Linked DNA regions of Drosophila melanogaster. The protein of the gene in region 2 purifies or fractionates together with the protein of the main gene of each other region. This does not show direct contact. Each region holds a gene or a part of one and is shown on either strand. Other genes may lie near its edges.

Region 1 (5,009 bases), on a different chromosome or scaffold from region 2:
CTCCAACGATACATCCTTTAGGCACACGCGGCAGACGCGCTCCGCGTCCACGGTGTCCATTGTGGTCAGGGGCTCTAACTGGGAAACCAACTTGCTGACCGCCGGCTCAGTTTGCGCCTCCTGGCACGAACCCAACTCCAGCTGCGGCTGCGGCTGTGGCGTTGCCATGGCTGTTGCGCGTCCTTCGATCTTTGCTATTGCATGTGGGCATCGACAATTAGCACAATTGCTGCTGAATTTTCATAATTTTTCTTTTATTTTAACAATACGAAGCGTTTGTTGTGCTCGCGAGTGCCGTCATACTGGGTGCGCCATTTGTTGTGTTACCGAGTTCGGCCACACTGCGTAAATATCGATATTTTTCATGTTGCCGATAGCTTTTTTAAACCAGATTTGCATTTTACAAACATTTTCTAAACATTAAATAAATATATAAAGAAATTCAAAAATAATTGTAAAATCACAATATTTGGAGTGTTTATTTATTTTCTCCAACCTTAATAGCTCAACAAATTAAACGCTCTCGAAAAGATTATCAAGGTAATTATTATTTACAAGATGCGATAGTTAACTAAGGAATGTCATTTTAAGGTTTCAATTTCTTTTCCAGCACCCGCGTCCACAATCAATGTCAACTGCCCTTTGGTCGGATTCACCCACGCAGCGGGAAACTTCTTGTCCAGATCGACAAACACACTCTAAAAAATATAATAACAACAAAAATAAACCTTACAAATGAAGTTTTTGAATTGTGGTTAAAAATATCAGATTTCTTGCTCATATTCTTTTCCATCTTATCAAGCTAAAGAGACCTCACCTTGACGACACTGGCTTTTGCGGCGCCCGTAACCACGAAGGCGACATTCCGTGCCTTATTGATCAGCGGCAGGGTGAAAGTGATCCGCTCGGGAGGCGGCTTGGGCGAGTTCCGGATGGGGATAACCAGGCGCTTGGTCTCCTGCAGGGTGGCTGGCTGCTCGGGAAAGAGGGAGCAGGTGTGGCCATCGGGTCCCATGCCAAGCAGCAGCAGATCGAAGCGATCGACTTGACTTTTGACCTTCGCCTCGTAATCTGCGGCGCAGGCGTCCAGCGGTTGGCTGGTATCGGCGCGGACGAACTGGGATTCCTGGATGCAGGGCAATTGGGTTAGCCACTCGGCCCTGTAGGCACCATAGGTGGAATCGCTGTCATCCAGGCGAACATACCGCTCGTCACAGAAGAAAAACACCCATTTGGCCGTTTTTAAGTTGCACGATTTCAGGGCTTTCGTTAGCAACTGGACGAGGGAACCACCTGTAAGCGAAACAAGACACTTGACTTTGGGAGCACAAGTTTAAAGATCGCACCTGGCAAGGTCACCCCTCAAGTTTGGCTTATCACAAGCCAACCCACTTGACCTGCATGACCTGTGCGTTGATCCTTACCCGAAAGTCCCACGCTGAACTTATCATGTTTGGCCAGCGCCTCCTGGGAGCAGCGCTGGAGAAGATCGCCCAGGGCCTGGACAAGTTGCTCCTCCGAAGCGGACGGGATTACTTTTAGCGCACCCTTTTTCTCCGACATATTGCTTGATCTGATAATAAAACTCGACTCGACTTCGATTTGTCAGTAATCACCATTCCCTCTCTCAACTATCGATTACCAATTTATGAAATACATTGCACCGTTTGCGACAAAATGAAAGTAAGTAAATCTTATACGAAAACATTTCACTACCTCTATTCGTAAAATAACAACTTATTTGATATTGAGCAAAAAAGGAGTGTGTACGTGTGTGCTACAACTATATAATATTTAAAGTAAGAATGAGGTAACTCTCTTCAAAACAGTCCAATAAAATAATATTGCATTCTAAAGTTTAACTGCAACAAAACAAAAAATAGCCAATAATCTTTAGATTTATCGCGGTTGTTCTGCGCTAGAGTGTCATCACTGATTACGACCTGTGCGATAGTTGGCCCGCCATCATCGATAGACCTGTCAGAAATTAAGAAAACAATATCAACATCAAGCGAATATACTTCGCTCGCTACATATTTCTAGTTAGTTTTCGTAACTTTTTCGCTTTGGTGGCAATTAAATCAAATTTCCTCGAAGAATAACTTGTAAAAAGGTCGCAAACATCCGTCCAGTTTCTGCCAACCATCGGCCACTGGCTATCGAAAGAAGATCGCTAGTGAATTAAATTTCACAAAATTGCGTTGTACTTTGGCCGTGGAAATTTGCCAAAAAACAGCAGCTACTTTGCTGCTATATTAGCAAATAGGTTCAGGAAGTCGAGAAAAATTTTTCCAGAAGTTGGCAGCAGTTTGTGTGAATGCAAAAAATACATCGCACATAGTTTTTTGCCCTCAAGACAGTTTTCTCAGTAATAACAACAGCACCCACACAAACACACAACACCACTCAGCTAAAAACGTGCTGAAATTCGCATATCTTTTTGTTGCATACGTTTTTGAGTGAATATTAGTAAGATGCCCAAACGCGGCGGTGGCAGTAGCCAGCGGTACAACAACAACGTTGGAAATGGCGGCGGACGTTACAACGCTCCCGAGGATTTCGATGATTTTGGTCAGTACACGGGAGTGCAAGAAAATGAACCCTCCAGTAACCTAAATATAATGTATTCCTATAGATGTGGAGGATCGCCAGCGACGCAAGGATCGAAACAAGCGGCGCGTCAGCTTTAAGCCCTCCCAATGTCTACATAACAAAAAGGACATCAAGCTGCGACCCGAAGATTTGCGTCGATGGGACGAGGATGATGACATGAGCGACATGACCACGGCCGTTAAGGTGCCCACCAACCCCACATGTTATCCCTATGCACATTTCTAATCTAATGTATAATTAATTCCAACAGGATAGACCCACCTCCCGACGTCGGGGATCGCCCATTCCGCGCGGCAAGTTCGGCAAACTGATGCCCAACAGCTTTGGCTGGTACCAAGTCACGGTGAGTTTGGACTACCATGTCATATAGATATCATAGCCGCAATGGCCCAGACCAAAATCATGTGATTTAATAGTAGTTTTATTACTAAGCTAAAGAAGCAAAAGCATTCAGTCCTCCAGCACCTGTTAGATTTATAACGTTCGCCATTATACAAATTAATCGACTGTTCTACTGGATGGCTCTTCTTATGCGAAGTACATATATGTTAAATGTAGTTTTAAGTATTTAGATTACTAACGTCACATAAAACTTCCAGAAGTTTGCTCCAGTGCTCTACTAATTTCCCGCCCCTACATAGAACTACAAACCCCAGACTGGTCCATATAGATACCAGATTTACGACAGCAGTCATAGAACTATTTTTGGTCTCCAAGAACATCATGTGATTCGTCTGATGGCTTTTTTTTTTTGTTATTGGCAAAAGATCGCGTTGAGGGAGCAAAGTATCCGGCAAGAATCGCATAAGTTACAGCGAAATGTTGAGACTTATTTGTTTATTTGTACACTGCTTCCAAAGCTCCAATGCCGACTTGCCGACTGGGCTCTTTGTGTTTATTAATTAATTTCCCTCGTAAAAATCGTAAAGCAAACAAGCCAAAGTTGGGCCGGGGGGATACCAGCTCTACACAGCTAACGACAATCGGGTACTACAATTACAATTGCAATCCGACGAGCGGGCAAATAAATATTTATGGATGGCTAAACACAGTCGTCCACAGTACCAGCCACAAGTGTTTGTCGGCACGAGCTAAAAGTGCAATGAAGTCGAGCCTTTGGTGGTTTGACAGTTGCCATGACCCTCACCTAAATGGTTTCCCATTTTAAGGGCTTGCGGGCCTGCGGTTGGGTTATCCTTCGCCTGGTTGTCACCCTATCCAGCCGCACGTGGTGCAACACAACAGGTCGCTATCTCTCGACGGGGTCGTAAATGCCATAGTAAAATGCCCAATGCTGACTCTCCACCAACAAAAGCTTGCGGTTTCATTCCGTTTGGGCCTTTATTTCATCGACGGCCGGCAGACGGTGAAGACGTGTTCCAACGTCCGACGCCCCATAGAATATATCGCTTGAATCTCAAGAGGCCCGATTAGGGGCAACTTATCAGTTTGGAGTGATTAGATGTGCGACTAGGGTTCCGTCGGGAAAATCAGCCTAACACGTGCCCCACTTAAAACCCGGCATCTGCAATGGCTACTTTGGGCGCCTGGGACTACACGATCCTGGCGGTGGTGCTGATCATCTCCGTTGCGATTGGCATCTACTACCGTTTCGTGGGCGGCAAGCAGAGCACCACCACCGAATATCTTCTGGCGGATCGTTCCATGAACGTGGCGCCTGTGGCCTTTAGCCTGATGGCCAGTTTCATGTCGGCCGTCACCATATTGGGCGTATCCATGGAGAACTACCAGTACGGTACAATGTTCGTCGTGATCAATCTGTCGTATGTGTTGTCCACGCCGGTGGCCGCCTACCTCATCATTCCGGTCTTCTATCGCCTAAAGACGGCCAGTGTGTACGAGTATCTGGAACTGCGGTTTGGCTATGCCACCCGATTGGCCGCCTCGCTGAGCTTCTCGCTCCAGATGGTCCTATACATGGGCATTGTGGTCTATGCGCCGGCTCTGGCCCTGGAAGCTGTCACTGGACTGAGCCAGGTCTTCTCCATCGTAATTGTTGGAGTCGTGTGCACGTTCTATGCGACGCTCGGCGGAATGAAGGCCGTACTCATCACGGACATCTATCAGTCGCTCCTCATGTTCGCCGCTGTCTTCAGTGTAATCATCTGTGCCTGGGTGAAGGCGGGCAGCTTGGAGGTGATATGGCGCGTGGCGCAGGAAAACGGACGCATCAATCTGACCAACTTCAGTGTGGATCCAACGGAACGTCACACTTGGTTCACCCAGATTTTAGGCGGATGTGCCACCTATTTGGCCATCTATGGTGTGAATCAAACGCAGGTCCAGCGCCTGATGGCGGTGAAGAGTTTGAGTGCCGCTCGAGCGGCCCTGTGGTGGTGCCTGCCCATTCTGTGCCTGCTTAGTCTGAGCACCTG
Region 2 (3,796 bases):
AGTGTGTCCAACTGGGCATCCGACTGCGCCTGCAGCCGCTCCACGCGCTCATCCATATATTCGTAGACAGCCAGCGAGCTTTGCATGTGATGCAGACAGTTCAAAAGGTACACACCCATGTCCACGGTGGGCAGATGGGCAGCACTTTCTTGCACGGACTGCAGCAGCGGATCTATCACGCAGCTCACGATCTTTGTTATGTCGGCCTGCCGGCCATCGACCATGGTGGCCACCGAAAGAATCTCTTTGAGCATATTTAGCAAACGTGCCACGCTTGGCGGCGGTACAAGATCCCTTTGCGGCGGTTCCAAGGCCAGGCCCGATCCTCCAGAGGGACGCTGCAAAACACTTCTCACCTGGGCAGCCAAGGCGCCCAGGTAGATCTGCTCACTGCTCTTCTGAAGCTCCACCAAACACTCCTCCAGGCTGCCGCCCTGCACCACCTGGCGCATTATTTGCTGGTAGAAGCGTAACAGATTGGAAATGGTAAACAACACAATAGTGTCCTTCTCCGCCTGCAGTATCGTCTCCACTCGAACCTTTAGAGGATGACAAACTCCATCGGCTATGTAGCCCAAAGCGTTCTGCAGCTGGTCGGAAATATCTATTGCAAAACGAAGAGCACTATTTTGGTGCCATAATGTATGCATTTTCTTATCTTACCCTGCTTATCGCACTTTTTGAACAGCAAAGATAGGTTCTCCTTTTCGGTGGGAATGCTCTGATGCAGCCACGCAAACATATCGCCAATATATCTCTTCGGATCGTGGGCATGCAGCTCAATGGGCTTGGGGTTCCCTCCAGGACCCCCTTCCGTCAAGGCCTCAATGAACTGACGCACCAAAACCGCTCTTCTCGCAATGGCGTATTCGTCAATGACGTATCTGCAAAGGAATTACTTTTATAAATGCTACAGGAAAGTCCACAAAATGGACACACTTGAATAGCACCGGACGGTCCTGCAGCCGGCTCATGGCTTCCACAATCAGCGGACCTATTTCGTTGTTTTCCAAACTGCGACAGTGGTTCTGAGTCCATCGGTAGAGCCTTTCCAGAGCGCCCTCCTGATGCAATGTCATCTCCTCCATGATGTCGATGGCTGCTGTTTGGTATCCACACTGCATCAGCAGCCGGCAGTCAGCGTGAATGCTTTGTACTCTGTCCAATACGCGAAAGAAGTCCGCCACAATGGGTGCATCTTTGGCAGCGCCATATAGTAACTGGTGCTCGGCTCCGCTTAGCTGAAAACGAGCCAGAAAAGCTTGCGCAATCTGCTTATGCACCTCCAAGCGGTCCCTCTCCCGCTGCATGGTGTTGGTCTGCTTGATCAGATCCTTGGTGAGCGCCTTTGAGGTCTCCAGATCCGATTTCATCGTCTCTACTGACGTGGCCATCGTGTCCAGATCTTCGCACACGGCATCCAGCGAGAGCTTCACCTGGCGGAAGGCCTTCAGAAAGTTCTCGTTGATGCCCACGGAGCGGTGTTCGATCTGGCTACGCAGATTCCTGCGATTCTGCAGCGTATTCTCCGTGAAGAAAGTGGACAGACCACTCAGAGCATCCAATGTGTCCTGGAACCGTAACGCGGTTATTCGCTATTGGCCAAGCTTGGGTAAATTGGGCACTGACCTTGTCCGACTCCAGGCGAGCCTCAAGGATCTTGTTGACCCTCTTCTGGATCCTGTCCAGCTCCTCCGGTTTTTCCTGCGTCGAGCTCATCTTAAACAGTTGAGAGTGGCCAGGTGCGCGAAAAGTAAACATAAGTTTGAAAAATACTTAAGACCTAAATGAACAGATGTAATATCTCCTTTATTAATTTTATTTTAAAGATATGTTTAATTTTATTTAAAGCTATCAATATCAAAGCATAGCTACTAAATGTTTGAAACGGCAACATTTTTTAGATCGCACTTTACTTTACCCCAAAAATACCAAATAATATTTACTGAATCCCTGGTTCACATGTTATAGAAAAATAAAACAGTTGCGTTTTCGACAAATTAAAAACAATTTCTTAAAATAAGTTGTAGTCATCTAAGTTTTAAATACATCCAATTAAATGGCTGCCCTGGCCAGCTTGACTGCCCAGTACACGGATTCCGAGAACGAGGGCGATGCTAGTCCGGATTCACAAAACTCCACGGCGTCCCTGGTTTAGTTTCACCTTAACTTTAGTCGAAATCTTATAATCTCACTAAATGCATTTCTCAATACCCAGGTAATCATACCGCCCAAGCGACCCACGCCGACGCCCACCAAACAGGACGAAGAAAGCAAGCGATCTAAGGAGAAGAAAAAGAAGCGGGCCAAGAAGGTGCGTCGGTTGGTGAGCTACCAGGATGACACCCTGATTTCTGACGAGGACGAGGACCGCGCCGCAGCGTCCTCTAGTGAAGAGGAGTCCAGCAGTGGCGACGAGAGCAATAGTTCCAATTCCCAGAGCGAAGACAGTCCCAAAGCCAAGGATAAAAGCAATGCTGGTAGTGGTTCCAAGGACGGGGACACGCCCATGGAGGTGGACGAGGAGCCGGCATGTTTCCCGGTCGAAGAACGCACGGCTGAGAGCTACGAAAAGGATGCCAAGTACGCCAAGTACAAGTTCCAGCTGCCACCCGAGCCAAAGGGGAAGCCGTCCGCCGAATTAGTGGCCAAAATCACTAAAATGTACACAAAGATGAACCAGACCAATATGGACATGAATCGCGTAATACAGGATCGCAAGGAATTTCGCAATCCCAGCATATATGACAAACTAATAAGCTTTTGCGACATCAACGAGTTCGGTACCAACTATCCGCCCGAGATCTATGATCCTTTGCAGTGGGGCGAGGAGTCCTATTACGAGTCCTTGGCGGCGGTCCAGAAAACGGAGATGGTGAAGCGGCAGAAAGATCGCAAGGACATGGACAAGGTGGAGCAGGCCACTGCGTTGGCCCGGAAAGTCGAGGAGGAGGCCAAAAAGCGGTAAGCATGCATTTAATCTACTGTATTTATTGAATTCATTTGTTAATTCGACTTCGTCCTGCAGCAAATCCAAGTGGGATCAACCGGCACCTTCGTCAACCGTTGTTAAGACCACTCTTCCGGCTCTAACCACCACGGTTACGGGCACCAAGGGCACTGTCATTTCCGCCTTTGGATCGCTGCCGAAGAAGCCAGCCGTTTAGATTTTAATTTTTAAATAAACATTTAGTTTTAAACATTCTCATCCCAAGGCTTTCAATAGAAGCCTTTTTTGGGTTTGTTTTTCCTTTTTTACACGGTCTTTGGTTTTTATTATGTTCTGTTTCTTGACAGCTTACACTGTATGTTATAATGAACAACAAATAATATGTAAAAATCATCGCTGTTTTTAAATACATTTTGTTTACCTTCAGTTTTAGGAATACCCCAAGTGCGCACATCACATACGAAAGTGTTCAATGGTATTTTCTTGGTATATTTAAAACCTATTCTGCATATTGTTCTCACTCTGGCGCGGTCACACTGGCTGTAACTCGAACATCCGTGTGTGTTGGGTTGTACTTTTGCGTTTTAAATTACAAAAACACAAATAAATACAGTGTTTATTTATTGGAAGCAGTCGGCGTTATGATTTGAAAATAGGAGTGCGTGATACCTAATTCGATTGATAGATTCGGAGTAAAATTTGGAGAACACAACACAGGGCAGAGCAACAACAACCACACACCGAGAGAAAAGAGAGAAGACAACGCAGCAACAGCAAAAGAATTTTTCGATCTGAGCCGAATGAGTGTGTGTGTGTGTGAGCGAGATAGCCTAAGATTTGTATAAA

What was found. Proteins that work in one complex are often made in the same cells at the same time.
Region 1: the proteins of CG2063 (region 2) and sbr purify together in Drosophila melanogaster (affinity purification with western blotting, with the first as the bait; one study listed by BioGRID). This does not show direct contact.

Annotation. Positions count from the first base shown.
Region 1 is NC_004354.4:10,844,054-10,849,062, reverse strand, and holds the start of sbr (small bristles), read left to right. Parts: upstream 1-1,970; 5' UTR 1,971-2,474; coding exon 2,475-2,571; intron 2,572-2,635; coding exon 2,636-2,796; intron 2,797-2,863; coding exon 2,864-2,956; intron 2,957-3,981; exon of another isoform or gene 3,982-4,143; coding exon of another isoform or gene 4,144-5,009. Other genes in the region: CG2202 (uncharacterized protein), read right to left, coding at 1-168; Pgls (6-phosphogluconolactonase), read right to left, coding at 582-698, 818-1,293, 1,425-1,563; CG32669 (uncharacterized protein), read left to right, coding at 4,144-5,009. UniProt on the Drosophila melanogaster protein: Mediates the export of the majority of mRNAs from the nucleus to the cytoplasm. In ovarian follicle cells, plays a role in transposable element silencing regulation by enabling the nuclear export of flamenco (flam) transcripts and subsequent piRNA biogenesis.
Region 2 is NT_033778.4:9,284,771-9,288,566, reverse strand, and holds CG2063 (uncharacterized protein), read left to right. Parts: upstream 1-1,932; 5' UTR 1,933-2,059; coding exon 2,060-2,152; intron 2,153-2,218; coding exon 2,219-2,964; intron 2,965-2,972; exon of another isoform or gene 2,973-3,028; coding exon 3,029-3,167; 3' UTR 3,168-3,257; downstream 3,258-3,796. Other genes in the region: Cog6 (component of oligomeric golgi complex 6), read right to left, coding at 1-604, 664-884, 940-1,571, 1,630-1,719.